2 linked regions of the Mus musculus genome follow. The protein of the gene in region 2 binds, or shares a complex with, the protein of the main gene of each other region. Each region holds a gene or a part of one and is shown on either strand. Other genes may lie near its edges.

The links. The genes of interacting proteins can lie anywhere in the genome.
Region 1: the proteins of Katnb1 (region 2) and Katna1 are in contact, whole or in part, in a crystal structure (PDB 5OW5), measured with the Mus musculus proteins. Residues at the interface, in NP_083081.2 of Mus musculus: Leu485, Val486, Asp487, Glu488, Ala490, Met491, Gln493, Ile494, Arg495, Gly497, His498, Met501, Phe502, Val504, Leu505, Thr506, Arg508, His509, Leu512, Asp513, Val515, Arg516, Trp519, Thr521, Asp542, Leu543, Ile546, Gln549, Lys550, Leu553; in NP_035965.2 of Mus musculus: Leu5, Gln6, Ile8, Val9, Val12, Arg16, Ala19, Leu20, Leu21, Gly22, Tyr24, Tyr31, Tyr41, Leu50, Lys53, Trp54, Gln56, Val57, Glu60, Ile61, Val63, Glu64, Gln67, Val68, Asp70, Ile71, Thr74, Leu75, Ser77, Phe78.

The regions. Positions count from the first base shown.
Region 1 is NC_000076.6:7,722,171-7,730,093, reverse strand, and holds the start of Katna1 (katanin p60 ATPase-containing subunit A1), read right to left. Parts: upstream 4,095-7,923; 5' UTR 3,971-4,094; intron 1-3,970. UniProt on the Homo sapiens protein: Catalytic subunit of a complex which severs microtubules in an ATP-dependent manner. Microtubule severing may promote rapid reorganization of cellular microtubule arrays and the release of microtubules from the centrosome following nucleation.
Region 2 is NC_000074.6:95,077,996-95,085,918, forward strand, and holds the start of Katnb1 (katanin p80 WD40 repeat-containing subunit B1), read left to right. Parts: upstream 1-3,205; 5' UTR 3,206-3,309; exon of another isoform or gene 3,310-3,506; intron 3,507-4,602; 5' UTR 4,603-4,858; coding exon 4,859-4,898; intron 4,899-7,923.

The sequences.
Region 1 (7,923 bases), on a different chromosome or scaffold from region 2:
CTTTCGAGCCAAATCTGTTTCATTTCTTCAGCGAGGGAAGTGGAAGGACTTCATTAGCTCTGGTTGGCCTAGAACCACAGTGGCTCTCTTGCTTAGCCTCCCAGATGGCAGGATTACAGATGTGAGCTTTCATGCCTAGCTTGATATTTTCCTAACGAACAAATAATGCAACATCAGTCCAAGGCTACATTAACAGATGGCATGCACAGTCCTTGGCTATCAAAAAAACAAATCAAGCCGGGTGTGGTGGCGCATGTCTTTAGTCCCAGCACTAGGGAGGCAGAGGCAGGCAGATTTCTGAGTTCAAGGCCAGCCTGGTCTACAGAGTGAGTTCCAGGACAGCCAGGGCTACACAGAGAAACCCTGTCTCAAAAAACAAAAACAAAACAAAAACAAAAAAACCAAATCAGAACAAAACGAAACCCAAAGTGTTTATGGATATACTGACAAAGCACTCTTATTTCACTAAAAGTTAGATTAAAAATCATCATTTTTCTATTACTCCAACATTATCTAAGCCAGAATATTAACATCTGTATTTTTGACATTCTTCAGTTTCCATTATCATTGCTCAAATTCCACTGCAGAAGAACAGAAACTGGGTTTACCTAGCATAGTACCTGGCAGAATTTGAGGAAGGGTCTATAAAGGGGGAAAAGCTAATAGACAAGATTTTAACTACTATTAGTTATAAACGGTACCCACTGGCTCAAGGTTAATGTAAACACCCCCCCCAAAAAACCCAGTTGCCTCAAGATTGAGAATCTTAGCTCTTAGAAAGACAATCTGCTGCTTCATCTTACTCAAGCCTTCCTTTACACTACCCAACACTCTGTTTACAAGACAAGTATAATTGTGGCCAACAAGCCACAGCAGGAAATTTTTTAATTTAAGCAGAAATTTAATTACATGCAAAAAAGTCACAGCTGTATCAAGCAATCTTAATATCTGCACAAGTTCCTCTACAAAGAGATGAAATACCCCCACCCACACACCCACACACCCACACCCACACGCCCATGTACAACTGGAAAAACCAGTAACTAAAGAGCTCCAGAAGAGGCAGCAAATCCAAGTACTGAGCACTAAGATCTAACCACCAGCCTCACATGAGGCCCTCCCTGGTCCTGGTCCACATATACATAGGTCGACATAGCCTGTCCACATCTGAACAGGACATCATAGCTGTCTAATTTCTAAAGGTATGTAAGGCTGGACTCCACTGAGAACTGCTATTTTTACTCTAACCATGCACAGGTTAATCATTCAAGAACCATTTACAGAGCACCATGGTTTTGTTTGTTTTTCTTTTTGTTTTGTTTTTGTTTTTTGAGACAGGGTTTCTCTGTATAGCTCTGGCTGTCCTGGAACTCAACTTTGTAGTCCAGGCTTGCCTCGGACTCCGAAATCCGCCTACCTCTGCCTCCCAAGTGCTGGGATTAAAGGCTCGCACCACTACGCCCGGTTGAGCACCACATTTTAAAAGAATTGCTTTGAAGATAAAAAGACAAAAGGAGATGAGCAGCTGAGGTAGTGAAGGCAGAGGTCATCACCGGCTGCAGAGCCAGCCTGGACTATATGACAGTCTGTTTCAAATATATACACAAGGAGGAAATACTAGCAATAGACTTTCTTTCTAAGAAAAAACAAAAAGTGTGTGGCAAACCAGGCATGATGGCGCACTCCTTTAATCCCAGCACTTGGGAGGCAGAGGCAGGCGGATTTCTGAGTTCGAGGCCAGCCTGGTCTACAAAGTGAGTTCCAGGACAGCCAGGGCTATAAAGAGAAACCCTGTCTTGAAAAAAAAAAAAAAAAAAGTGTGTGGCACAGTGCATGTGCAGGTCAGAGGACAAGTAACCGTGTGGAGTAGACCCTCCTGGTTTCAGGAGTTGAACGCAGGCTGGCAAAGCACCCTCAAATGTACTAGAGACACACAAGTAATTTCAGGAAATTTACCTCTAGAATATGAGGAATTAGTTATTGGCAGTCAATGGCTGACAAGAACAGTCACAGTCCTATGAGCCACAGACGCTGGCCGGCTGGCCACCCATGTACACACAGACAACACTAACTGGTCTCAAAGGCTTATTAATAACAATGGGAATTTATTAATAAAACAACATAGGATCTGAAGTTGGGGAGATGGAAACACTTGGGGTGGTGTTGGAGGTAGTGTTGAAGGGATACAATCAACATACATGGTGTAAATACATGAAATTTTCAAAGAGTAAAAAAATATTTAAAAGAAAATAGTAGTGACTGTGTAGCAATTATGGAATTATGATAAAGACAAAAAGAAATTAGACTTTGAAATTCCTTTTTAGGTTTTGTGGAAAGAATATGGTAGGGTTATTTTTGTTTTACTTCCCAGTCACTCCAGCATCGGATCCTCTTGCCTCTGCTCTATACTGCCTTGTACACTTGTACCGTCAAGGAAAACGAGCATCAGCCGGGCAGTGGTGGCACATGCCTGTAATCCCAGCATTTGGGAGTCAGAGGCAGGCAGATTTCTGAGTTCGAGGCCAGTCCTGGTCTCCAGGACAGCCAGGGCTACACAGAGAAACCCTGTCTCGAAAAACAAAAAAACAAACCAACAAACAAAAAAAGAAAGAAAGAAAGAAAGAAAAGAAAAGAAAAGAAAAGAAAAGAAAAGAAAAGAAAAGAAAAGAGAAAAGAAAGGCAGGCAGGCATCACTGTTCTCTTGGGAGCTAATTACATAAAAAGTACTAATGATTACTAAATAAAAGCTTGAACTGGGGGAAGTGTAGCCGCCTGTAATCCCAGTACCAGGCAGAAGCAAGAGTTTCAGAAGTTCAGGCCAGTTTAGGCTACAAAGGACACTGTCTATAAATAAATAAACAAATAAGGGCTGGCAACAGTTACAAGCCTAGCCTACACGCAGTACAAGGCAGAGGCAAAAGGATCCGGAGTTAAGGACCAGCTCTGGCTACAAGAGACACTGAAGAAAGAGGAGAGGGAGAGGAGAGAGAAGAAGAGAAAGAGAAAGAGAAAGAGAAAGAGAAAGAGAAAGAGAAAGAGAGAGAGAGAGAGAGAGAGAGAGAGAGAGAGAGAGAGAGAGAGAGAAAGAGAAAGAGAAGAAAGAGAAAGAGAAAGAGAGGAAAGGAAAGAAAAGAAAGAGGAGAGGAGGGGGAGGGGAGGGGGAGGGAGAGAGGAGAGGGAGAGGAGAGGGAGAAGAGAGGGAGAAGAGAGGGAGAAGAAAAGAGAAGAGAAAAAAGAGAAAGAAGAAAGGAAAGGAAAGAAAGAAAGACAAGTTTTCGTTTGTATGCCACTGAACCCACATACTGAATGAAACAAATGCTTCCTGGGATAAATTTTCTCCACAGCGCCAAATCAAAAAAGCCAAAAGCTTTCATGAGAACACTAGGCTCTCAGATTAAGAAACTAACCCCAAGAGTGGCGTGGTTGCACACACCTTTAATCCCAGCGCCAGGAGGTAAAGGAAGGCTAGTCGGGTCTACAGAGCGAGATCCAGAACAGCCAGGGAGAGAGAGAAAGAACGTCAATATTATCACCTTTAAAAGCAACAAAAACAAAACAACAAACGCCGGTGAGGGGGCTCAGCAGGTAGAGGCATTTGCCCAGCATGCCGGGCTACCCGAGTTCAACTCTGGGACCCTCGTAAAGGCGGATGGAGGGAAGCGACCCCAGAGAGTTGTCCTCTGACCTCCACTCACGCGCCCACATCTACACCATACTCAACAATAGCAATAAATCTAAAACTAAAAACAAAGGCCAACACAAAGGAGAAACAACAGAAAGAAGTAAGCCACCAGAAAGCAGTACAACTCCAACCTAACAAACTGTACGAAAAGAAGCTGAACCCCAACCTCCAGGCTCTGGGGATTTTACAAGGCGGAAGTTTCGGGATGGGGGCGTGAAAGCTTCGAACGCGTTCCCTGGTCGGGTGTCGCGGGGGCGGAACAGGGAGCCTGGAGGCCCGAGCACTCACCTAGCGCAGCCCAGGCTACCCGCCGCAGCTCCGGGTCGGGACCAAGTTGAAATGAAACCGGGAAAGCCCCTCTTAAAAGGATAGTTCCCGCACCGGCGGGGACACGCCCCGGAAGTGCGTGCTCTACGGGCGTGCGCGCGCAGGCGGAACCTGCGGAGGGGCGTGGCCGAGCTCGGGGTGCTTCTGCGCACTGTGCGCCGCGGCTAGGAAATGGGAGTAGGCGTGGGGAAGGAAAGTAGGCGGGGCGAAGGACTTGGCAATACCCCGCCTACTTCAGTACTTACTCTGTGGACCATTATCTCTTCCCAGGGCTTCTTCACTCTGCCTTAGCAGGAGATTTACACTAAGCTGCTCTGAGGTTAGGAGGTCAGGGGCTCTCTTACAGGTGAGTGTCAGTGCTCAAGCAATTCGTTTATGACAAATCTTGCTTTAGAGCCCGGTACTTAGGATTATGAAGCCTGGGACCCATGTGTCAGGGTAACGCGAATACTCTCAAGACATGCTAAGGGGTGAGATTTTATTTCCAATTCCAGGTGATCCATCACCCTCTTCCTATATCACAAAACACAGGGCACAAACTGGTACACATACATGCATGCAGGCAAGCCACTGCATATATGAAATAATGTTTTACAGGGTTTAAAGTCTTCTAAATTTTTCACCAAAAATAGAAAATATATTTTCTGCTCTAGTAGATGTGAACGTTAGTGTCACAGAGCACAGAAAACTATAATCAGCACATCAGCAAGAATAAAAAAGACCACTTAGAGAGATATAGATCAATTACTCCAAGAGATGGATTTATAATCTATACAAATGCAAAGGCCTGTTAATTTATAAAACCGGATTATAATTTAAAAGCTTCTCAAAGGTGCAAAATGAATGTATATGGTATACTTAAATATATAGGAAATCCTAGAACCTACAGGATGAATCTGTAGTAACTAATCAGAAGTATCCGGGTGGGAGTTAGTTAGGAGTTGGGAATGATGTTCTGTAGTGGAGATGTCTTCCCAGGTGTACAGTTTTACACATGAAATGAAAGTTGTAATTTGAGTTTATGTAAATTATACCTCAGTGATGTTTTGTTGTTGTTTTTTCCTTGGATATTTTCTTTTCTTTTAAGAATTATTTATTATATGTATATGAGTACACTGTAACTGTCTTCTGACACACCAGAAGAGAGCATCAGATCCCATTACAGGTGGTTGTGAGCCACCATGTGGTTGCTGGGAATTGAACTCAAGGTCTCTGGAAGAGCAGTCGGTGCTCTTAACCGCTGAGCCATCCAGATATTTTCTTTACTTACAATTCAAATGTTATCCCCTTTCCCACCCTGGCCCCCAGGAAACCCCCTATCCCATCCTCCCTCCCCCTGCTTCTATGAGGATGTTCCTCCACCCATCCACCTACTCCCACATACCTGTTTGTTGCTGTTTCAAGACAAAGTCTCACTCTATAACCTCTCCTAGCCTGGAACTTATCACATACCCCAGGTTGACCTCAGACTCATAGTTTCTCTGCTCTTAAGAGTCCCCATTACAGCCATGGGCTTCTGTGCCTGGCGTCAGTGAAAATGTTTGAAATAGAAAGACAAACCCCCAAAAGGTGACTTACAGTGTGTGGTGGTTTGAATATGTTTGGCCCAGGAAAGTGGTACTGTTAGGAGACATAGCCTTATTGGAGTAGGTGTGGCCTTGTTGGAGGAAATGTGCCACTGTGGGGATGGGCTTTGAGACACTCCTCCTAGCTACCTGGAAGACAGTAGTCTTCTCCTGTTTGCCTTTGAAACAAGGTTTACAACTCTCAGATCCTCCAGCCATGCCTGCCTGGAAACTTCCATGATGAGAATGGACTGAACCCGTGAACCTGTAAGCATGCTCCAATTAAATGTTCACCTTTATAAGAGCTGCCGTGGTCATGGTGTCTCTTCACAGCAATGAAACCCTAAGACACAGTGACTACTTCTATTTACTTACTTGTACAATTAAACAACAAACAGTTATAGTTACCCTTAAACCACAGAGATTTCAAACTTCTCTTTTTTTAGAAGATAGAATCACAATAAATAACCCATGGTCACCTCAAACTCAAGGGGGAATCCTCCTGCCTCCGTTTCCTAAGTGCGGTCACACAATTTTCTGCTGACCTACTTTGCCTTTTTACTTTTGCAGTGCTGAGTCCAGTTCTATATAGAGCTGCATCCCAGCTCTTCCTAGCTCCATCCAGCTCACCAGCTCACAGCTGGATGCATGCAATCACTAGAACCCATAAAAGTAAAAATAAAGGGTCCTGTATAGTTTTTTGTCAACTTGACACAAGCTAGAGTCATCTGAAAGGAGGGAGCCTCAGTTGAGAAAGATCATAAGATCCAACTGTAGGAGATTTTCTTAATTAGTAATTAATATGGGAAGACTCAGGCCATTGTTGGTAGGGCCATCCCTGGGCTTGCGGTCCTAGGTTCTATGAAAAAGCAGACTGAGCAAGCCATGAGGAGCAAGCCAGTAAGCATCAGCTTACTCCATGGCCTCTGCATCAGCTCCTGCCTCCAGGTTCCTGCCCTGTTTGAGTTCCTGTCCTGGCTTCCTCCAGTGATAGACTATAAAGTGGAAGTATAAGCCCAACCCTTTCCTCCCCAACTTGCTTTTGGTTGTGGTGTTTTATCACAGTAACAGTAGCCCAGACTAGGACTGGGGCTAGGGATATGGTGATACACACCTTTGATCCCAGCACTCTCAGGAGGCAGAGACAGGAGGATCCCTATGAGTTTGAGCCATCCTGGTCTATATAACAAGATCTAGGACAGCCAAAGTTACATAGAGATACCCCGTCTCAAAGGAGGAGAAAGAGAAGGGAAAGGAATAAGGAAGAAGAGGAGAAGAGGAGGAGAAGGAAGGAAGGAAGGAAGGGAGGAAGGGAGGGAGGGAGGGAGGGAGGGAGGGAGGGAGGGAGGGAGGGAGGGAGGGAGGGAGGGAGGACTGGAAGGAAGGAAGGAAGGAAGGAAAGAAAGGAAGGAAAGAAAGGAAGGATTGCATAGCTTCCGTCTGGATAGAATACATGTCAGTTGCCCTCACATTTCATTACCCTAGAAAATCATGTGGTCAGTCTAACTTCAAAGGAACAGACATGTGCGACTCTGCAGTGTCCTCTGGAGAGAGTGCATAGGAGCCATTACTGCTTCACTAGCTATTGCTCAAACAAGTGGATCTCAAGTGGGGCTTAGGAAATGAGACTGTATTTTTTTTTTCTGGTGAACAGCCAGACTAATGTGAACTGAGAAGCTACAGGGAAAGAGGTAGAAAGGTGGGTGCTAGCCAAAGAGTTACACTTTATTAACTAAGCAAAGGAAAAGTGGAAAGTGTTCAAGTGAAGGTATAGATTATGTAGCAAAAGGAGGATACATTTGCAGCTAAAAGAAGAAGTAACTTGGAGGAAAGGGAAAACAGGGTGGCTTCTCAGAGAGGTGTGACCTCTGGAATTGCACAGGAGGGGAATGGCCATAAAGGGTAAACTCCTGACAATGTTTGCTTACTGTCTCTTGCTCCAGGAGGCAAAATTACGTTGGATATCATGCCTAACATATTGAAGGCACCAATTGGAAAGTTGTAGAATAAATAAAATCAGTATATACTTGGGGATGCCATAATGTTTTTAAAATTTTTTATTTTTCTATGTATGAATGTTTTGCTTGCATGTGTATATGTGCATTAAATGCATGCCTGGCGTCTGTAGAGACCAGAAAACGGTCCCTAACCTCTCAAAACTGGAACTATAGATGGTCAAGAGACCCTATGTGGGTGCTGGAAACTGAACCTGTGTTCTCTGTAGAAGCAGCAAGTGCTCTAACCACTCTCATCCCCCAAACAAATCATTGTTAAAAATTAGAGATGCATCTCCTAGTTCATGAGAAGCTAAAAGGGGCTCAGCTACAGGTACAGCTCATTAATTTGATC
Region 2 (7,923 bases):
CTCCTGGAACTACGGCAGACCCTGCCAGAGAATGGAGTCTCTCCCTTCTCCCCAACCACTATGATCCTATACTAGCCTCGCTGCCACACTACCTCCCTATCCCTCATAGCCTCCCTCAAATAAATGCATTTCCTGTTTGCCATTTATACTTCAGTGTTTACAAGCTCCAATCTACACCACCCTAAATCTTTTTCTGTCATCTTCTCTTCTGGATTATCAAGTGTTGGCTCTCCAGATGGTTCCATGGTCACCTGCCAAGATCTGCTGAGAGCTCAATGTGTTGATGGTGGAGCAGCTCCTAAAGTGAGAGCGGCTTAGCTAAGGAACACACCCCAGGACCAGGCGGCTTGATATTAGAGGACAAGAGACAGAATCCAAGTTCCTCTTTCATTTACCACCTGTGAAATGGGGCTATCCATGTTTCCTGAAGTAAGACTTAAAAAGCAGAGAAAACTGGGTATAGTAGCCCATGCCTGTAATCTAAGCAGGAGGATCAGAGTTTAAGATCTGTCTCATCTACATAAGGAATCTGTTTCAACTACATGGGTCACATGAAGCTCTGTTTAAAAAAAAAAATAAACAAAAAATAAAAGGGACTGGAGAGATGGCACTGACTGCTCATCCAGAGGTCCTGAGTTCAATTCCCAGCAACCACATGGTGGCTCACAACCATCTGTAATAAGATGCCCTCTTCGGGTGTGTCTGAAGACAGCAACAGTGTATTCATATACACATAAATAATTAAAACAAGAAGGAGGAGGAGGAAGAGGAAGAGGAGGGGAAGGAGGAGGAGAGAAGAAGAAGAAGAAGAAGAAGAAGAAGAAGAAGAAGAAGAAGAAGAAGAAGAAGAAGAAGAAGAGAAAAGAAAAGAAAAGAAAAGAAAAGAAGAAGAAAAGAAGGAAAGAAGAAGAAGAAGGAGAAGAAGAAGAAGAAAAGAAGACCTTGCCTGTAATCTTCTCCAGGGCATGACACACTCAAGACAGGTCTCACAGCGGCTGTGGTTGCCTGTACTACCTGGGCCAGTGGTTAGGCAATCATGTATCAGGGAGGGACTCCTGGGGCTCTCTTCTTGTTGAATTACTGGCTGCTGCTGAATTCCGGTTGCGGGGCAGTCATTGTTTTCACTCAAAGATGAGCCCAGTAAGCTTTAATGCATAGTTCCAAACCCATGGTTAAAGCCAGGGGTGCATGCTCATGTGGTAGCCCATGCCTTTAATGCCAGCTCTTCATCTCTGTCAGTCCAAGGCCAGCCTGATCTACAAAGTGAGACCCTGATACAGAGGGAGGAGAGAAGAGAGAGAGGAAGGGTAGTGGGAGATCCAAGAGACAGAAATAGGATGATCTTAGAAGAGTCAAGTATGCCAAGAGTGCAGAATCTTGTCTGGTTCCTATAAAGATACTGTGCCCCGCCCCCCACATGTGTGGTGTGTGTGTACACATGTCCCATTGTATCACTATGCATTGTCCTCTGACATTCTTCACCTTATTCCCTCGAGTCAGGGTCTCTCACTGAACCCGTAGTTAGGATGACAACCAACAATCTTAGTAATCCTCTTGTTTCTGCTCCCTATAACACTGCTCCTTATAAGCACACATGCACCATGCCCAGATTTTTACATGGGTCGTGAGGATTTGAACTCAGGTCTTCATTCTTGCACTGCAATCACTCTTAGCCACTGAGCCTTGCCATTTCTCTTGGTCCTAGGTAGTTTGTATTTCCAGTGCTGGGGATTGAACCTAGTGCCTCCTACATACCAGTCAAGACTCTCTTATCACTGAGCTACATCCCCAGTCTTGTTCCTGCTTATAAGTTATGTGTATTGGGGATGGTGACAGTCATTTTAATATAGTCTGCATGTTAGAGAATGAAGTTATTTCAGGGGTGGTGACATTGGTTATGTGACTAAGGGCCCTTAACGATCTTCAGGCTCAGTGTTGCCATGACTGAAATGTCTTAGGATCTGTAATGTACATATAATTGTATAAACAAAGCAGATAAGGCAAAATGTGTCAAAATGAAGAATTTGACTTTTTTTTTTAAATAAAAAGTTGCGGGAACAGCAAAGTACAAAGTTTTGATCAAATGTTATTCTCCAAATCCAGGTCTCTTAATAATTACCCATTTCTACGCAGGGCCGACTTCCCATTAGGCTGGTGGGTGACTTTTGTTCCCGTAAAGGTTTTGCATTTAATAGGGACTTTGTGTGCCTTGCCTTTAAGAACAAAAGTTTAAGTCCTGGGTCCGATCTTCCAAATGTCTGGTCTTTTTCACCACAGCATCTGTTTCCTCGTCTAGAAATGGGAAATTCCTCCCGTTCCGGACTGTGTAGAGGAGAACGCCAGATGCAGCAGCCCCGACCAGAGGGGAGTGAGTGTAGGATAGACCAGAGTTGGAGGTTATTTCTGCAAAGGGCTGGGACCGAGTTTCTCAGTAAGGGGGGGACCCGAACTCATGGTGGGTTATGTAGCCTGTCCCCATCCCAACCTGTCTGTCCTGTCACAGATATTAGCCTTTCTCCGGTTCCGTAGTTTTACTTCCGCACGCAGGCGAGCAGACACAAGCCTAACTCATCCCACTGTGCTACTGTGATCTTAGGGACGAACTCCTGGGCTCGACATCGACCCCACTGTAACTAAGCTCTGTTTCCCTCGAGGTCAGCGAACTCCAGGAGACGTGTGGATCCAAGTAAGAGCCAAGTCCTCCCACTACGCGGGCGACACTCACAGTCTGAGGGCGGGGTCCTGGCAGCCCTGTTTCAATATGGAAGATCTGCAACTTCATACCACTCTAGAAGTCCCCTTTCCATTGGCTATCTCAGAGCTGGTTCTCCAATAACACTAACGTTTATTGGTCAATCCAGAGCTGTTGCTGAAGTGATTGGCGCAGCCGCCATCGGGTGCAGCTCGCGGATTTTTTAAACACAACCGGGTTCCAGGAAATGCAGGAAAAGGGCGGAAAAAACCAAGCCTGACTGGGGGCGGGACTAAGAACGCAGAAGCCTGTATTGGTTCTTCTGGGACCTAAGGGCGGTCCGTAAGCGCTTCTTTCTCGTGATTAGTCTGAGTCGGGGAAAGGAGGCGGGTAGTTACGTAAATCGGCGGAAGCGCTTGCTTCCATTGGTCAATTCTAGAGGAAGGCGGGGCGTCCGTGGCGACTGATTGGTGTAAGAAGTGAAGTGGGAGGGACTCTAGGCCGGAGGTTTTGTTGTGAGGGTCGGTTGTCAAGCAGCGACCAATCAGGGCAAAGGATGGAGGCAAGTGGGGGTCGCGCCTGGAGGGAAGCCTTGGCCTCCAGAGCTACAGCTGCAGGTAGAGTGGCTCTCGGGGTCTTGGAGGCAAAGGGAAAATGGCTCTAGTCTTCGCCGAGCCTGGAGGGGACAGTCCGGTCGCCGGCAGGAGGCTCTCGGCCAGGACAGGCTGGAGCCAGTGCCCCTCAAGGCAGACGGGAGGAGGGTCAAGCGAAGCTGAGGGACCGGTGGCAGGTTTGGGATGAACGAGCAGGACGGGTGTGTGGAGGCCGGAGAGGGAAAGCTGGTGGGCCGGAAGCAGAGCTGAGGGTGTGCGGAGGATCGTATTGAGTCGGGGCTCCAGAAACAGGAGAGCGAATGAATGGGGGATTCTGATAGCAGCGGGGCAAGAGAAGTAAAGAGGGTCTGGCGAAGCATGGCCAACTAAGGAAGCTCAAGATGTGCCAGAACGGGAGCATAGGCAACAGGAGAAAGAGAATCCAGCGAGAGAGCTCCTGGGCAAGAGGCGAAGGGCCGTGGCGGCGGTGGAAGGCTCCATCCACGCTGTGGCCTTTTAGAATTGAGGAGTCATTCCGACTCACACCTAGACTGGAGACTCAATTCCTAGCTATGCCCTTGAGAGTTGCAGGGAGTGGGCGTGGTTCCCTTACCAGGGAGTTGGTGATGGAGGAAGCAAGAAGATTGGACCCTCAGAATCCTCTCAACATCACCCCCTCCCAAGGCCTTTACTGTTCTCTCTCTCTCTCTCTCTCTCTCTCTCTCTCTCTCTCTCTCTCTCTGAACGTCTGCCTATCTCTCAGTCTCTCTGTTCGTCTCCGTGTATCTCTCTGTCTCTCTGCCTTTTGGATGCCTCTCATGGGCACCAAAACATAACCTCAGACTCCAGTGCCCCATCCAATACATGGGGTGCAAATCCAAGTGGACTGCAGTTATGTGATCCTCTCTGCCCCATAGCAGGTGCTGGGTTGGCAAGTTAGGACACCCAGCATCCAGGAGCATTACTGTAGGCCCCTGAGAAGTCAGTCTCTCCATCCCCTCTCCACCTACCTATGTCAGTCTGTCCTTCCTTCCTTCCTTCCTTCTTTTCTTTGAGATAGGAACTGACAGAGATCTGCCTACTTCTAGCTGGCCTCCTGAGTGCTGGGGTTAAAGGCGTGAGCCACCAGGCCCAGCTACCTAGGGAAGGTCTTTTATCTTTGGGCTCTTAAGTCACAGGTTTTCAGACCCAGTGTGCACTGCAGCTCCAGGCCCTGGAGGCTCTGGCTAGTCTGTATCAAGTGGCCTTGATGACCCAGGGACTTGTAACTCGTCTCAAGCAGTTCCTAACCCACCATCGCCTCTGCTTGCATTCTAGCCCAGTGTTGAGCTGAGATGGTCCAAGCCTGACATTCCATGATCTGGGATCCCGACCTATGTGTCCAGGCTGCTGCTTGATAGCGGATGATCTAAACCACCAGGCAGTCCTGGGCCAGGAGAGGCGGACTCTCTGCCTGGATGTGTGGGAACTCCCTGCCAACTTGATTGTCGGATCTGGGGGGGATCCACCCCCACCCCACAGAGAAAGCACAATCTGTTTTGTGGGTGGGGTCTCAGGCGCCACCCCCTGAAGCATGGCCACCCCTGTGGTCACCAAGACAGCCTGGAAGTTGCGTGAGTACTTTTCATTTATCACCCTGTTGTTTTGTAAGCTGAGTAGTCTTAGCCTTCAGCTCTGTCTCCTCTCCCTGGCACAAGAGAGACTCACAGTCCTTGTTTTCAGGTAGACAAAGATGTCAATCACATTGGGCAGGTGATTAAGCAACCCTTCCATACAGCAAGATAAGCACAGCTGTGCTTGGTACTTGCTCTGAGATTCAGGTGAGATCTGTCTGGTCAAGCTGAAGAGCGGAGTGTTGCGAGGAAGGCTGAAAGGCGGTCCAAGAACCCCAGACATGTCCCAGGTCCCTTTTCCTCCATCAGATGCAAGGATCTTGGGATGTGGATGGAGGGGAGGTTGCCCAAAGATGCTGGCAGGGCTCTGAAGTGAAATCAAGCAAAAATAGTTCAGAATTCTTTAGCCTAAACTCTCTTAGATTCTTTTCCTTTGTTGAGATAGGGCATCCCTGTAGCCTTTGCTGGCTTGGGACATGTTCTTCTGCCTCCTGTGTGCTGGGATTAAAGGACTGTGCCACAATGCCTGGCTCTTTCATTTTGTTTTTTTGTTTATTTGTTTGTTTGTTTTTCTTTTTCTTTTCTTTTTTTTTCGAGACAGGGTTTCTCTGTGTAGCCCTGGCTGTCCTGGAACTCACTCTGTGGACCAGGCTGGCCTCGAACTCAGAAATCTGCCTGCCTCTGCCTCCCGAGTGCTGGGATTAAAGGTGTGCATCACCACTGCCTGGCACCTGGCTCTTTCACATTCCTAAACATTATTGACGACTCCAAAAGGCTTTCATTTATGAAAGTCACACTTACCCATATATTCTGTTAGAAAACAGTACTGAGACAGATGTGCACTCAAACCTGACAGGAGTGACGATGTCATCACACGTGTGTCTTCTCAACGGCTCCTCTGGAGCGAGTGAGAGCACCCAAGGCAATACCATCCTAGCATTTCAGACAGTAGCTCCGTTCTTTCGGATCCTCTAAAAGGCTCTGGAGGATCCCTAGATCAGGCCTGGAGGACCTTCATCTCACCTCTGTGGCTTTCTCTCCAGCCGTAGCTGGTTGTCGTAGGTTTGGTGTGCTGTCCCCGGGCTGTTTTCAGGAGCAGATGAGGAGACTTTGGGCAAAGCTGTTTTGGTGACTCAGTCTCCTCATTGAGAGATTGAGATCATTTTTAAGTTGTCCCCCAAAGCTGTAAGGTTCTGGGAGGACCCTGTTCATGGCAACTTTTGGCAGAGTAGCTTTATGTCAATTGGCATTATGCATCTTTAATGGCTTACCCTACCTGAAGGTAGAAGCTGATGCGAGGGAGCAAGTGAGGGCCAAAGTATCCAAGGTCACTGCATAGTGGGAGCTCAGCCCGGAGAGAGCCACAGCTGTCTGTTTCCAGTCCTGCTCTAATTCTGAGTGTGCGTGCTTGCATGTGCTTGCGTGTGTGTGTGTGTGTGTGTGTGTGTGTGTGTGTGTGGTCAGTTAATTACTGATGAGGGTAGAGGGTGCATGAGCAGCGAGTGCAAAGGCCCGAAACAGGAAGCTTTATATGTTGGAAAGACTTACAGGAAATCACAGAGCTTTCACACATCAGCAGGTGAGAAAGGGTTACCATGGAAACCTAGTGAGTTGTGCAGGGGCACATGTCCACAAGACCCTTGTTACTAAAGATCTAAGCATCAAAGTGTTTGAGCAGCAGGCAGTAGTATGATCAGGTATGTTGAGGATCTGAGAGTTTCTGGTGCACAAAGGTTTTGGGGTATATAGCCTGAGGCCACACAGGCTGGGGCTTCTCGGGGCTTCAGGGTGTGATGAGGCTCAGAAGACTCTTTAACCAGTGTAGGGTTGCTGCACCGCTGTCCCCTGTATCTTCCTCCTAGGATGTAAGTCCTTAGCACTTGTGGGCAGACAGAGAGTGATCCTCAGTTTCGGCTGAGGTATGCCAGTTCGGCTGAACTGCTGGTGTCTGGGGAGGTGCTGTTAGCTTTTGCTGGAGGAAGAGCCGCAGCCGTCATCTGGTCTGTAGGAGACATTGAGGAATTTGATTTGTTTGCATAAAAATCCAGCACCCACACGTGGGCCATTGCTGCTCGGTGTTCTCCCATTCAACCCCCCACTCCCTGCCTGTGACTCTGCCTGTTCCAGGCCTTGCCCTGGATCCATCTGATGCCCCTGGAGCCTAAGGGCAGGAAGCTCTCCTTCCACAGCCTCCTGTGCCGGCCTAGAGCAGATGTCTAGAAGCCTCTTCTGTTAGACCGCCACAGCTGTCTCTAGAGGTGGCCCTGAGGCCTGTTGAGATGGGGACTCAACCAGATCTCTCACTCTCTGCCTGGGGAGAGCCACGGCAGATGCCCGGGGACTCTCAGACAAATTCAGGGTGTGGCTGCAGAGACAGGGGCTGAGCTACTCAGGAGCAGCTGCATTCCCCTCCTGCTGGGCTGGCCACATATAGAAGGGTCTGTGGTCCAAGCTTGTGGGCAGCTGTCCCCAAGTGTGCAGAGGACAAGACTCTAGTTGAGCTGAGAATTAGAGCAAGACCCTCCTCCATTGGGTTCAGGTGGCAGGCCCTCCAGTACCTAGATTGAAAGCGTCTGGGCTTACAATGGGGCTCTCACCCTGGTTGGGCCAGTTGATGCTCGTGCCAGCAGTGCCCTGCCAGGCCCTGCAGGGAGGTGTCATTTCAGAAATGAACTGTCCGGCTTTCCTGGCCCTGTTTTCCAGGCTCCTTATGGTCTGCAGTTCATACAAGAGCTACTCCAGGCTGGGTAGCACAGGACCTGGGAGGAGGGGAGGACCCCTTACTAAAAGCCATGGCATTCCTTCTCCGTGCCACCCAAGCCAGTTTCCAGCTCCTTTAGGGAACCTGCATGTTGGGGCTTCCCCTTCCCCTCTCCTTTCTACTTGTTCCCAGAGGAGGTTGGAGACCAGGGACTGGCTTGGAGGCCTAGTCTGCCTGTTGATTCTCGGCTGAGTTTGTTCTTTCTGGAGCACTGATAAGGTCCGAAGTTCCCACCTTTGCTCCCCACTTTGGGCCTCTCACTGT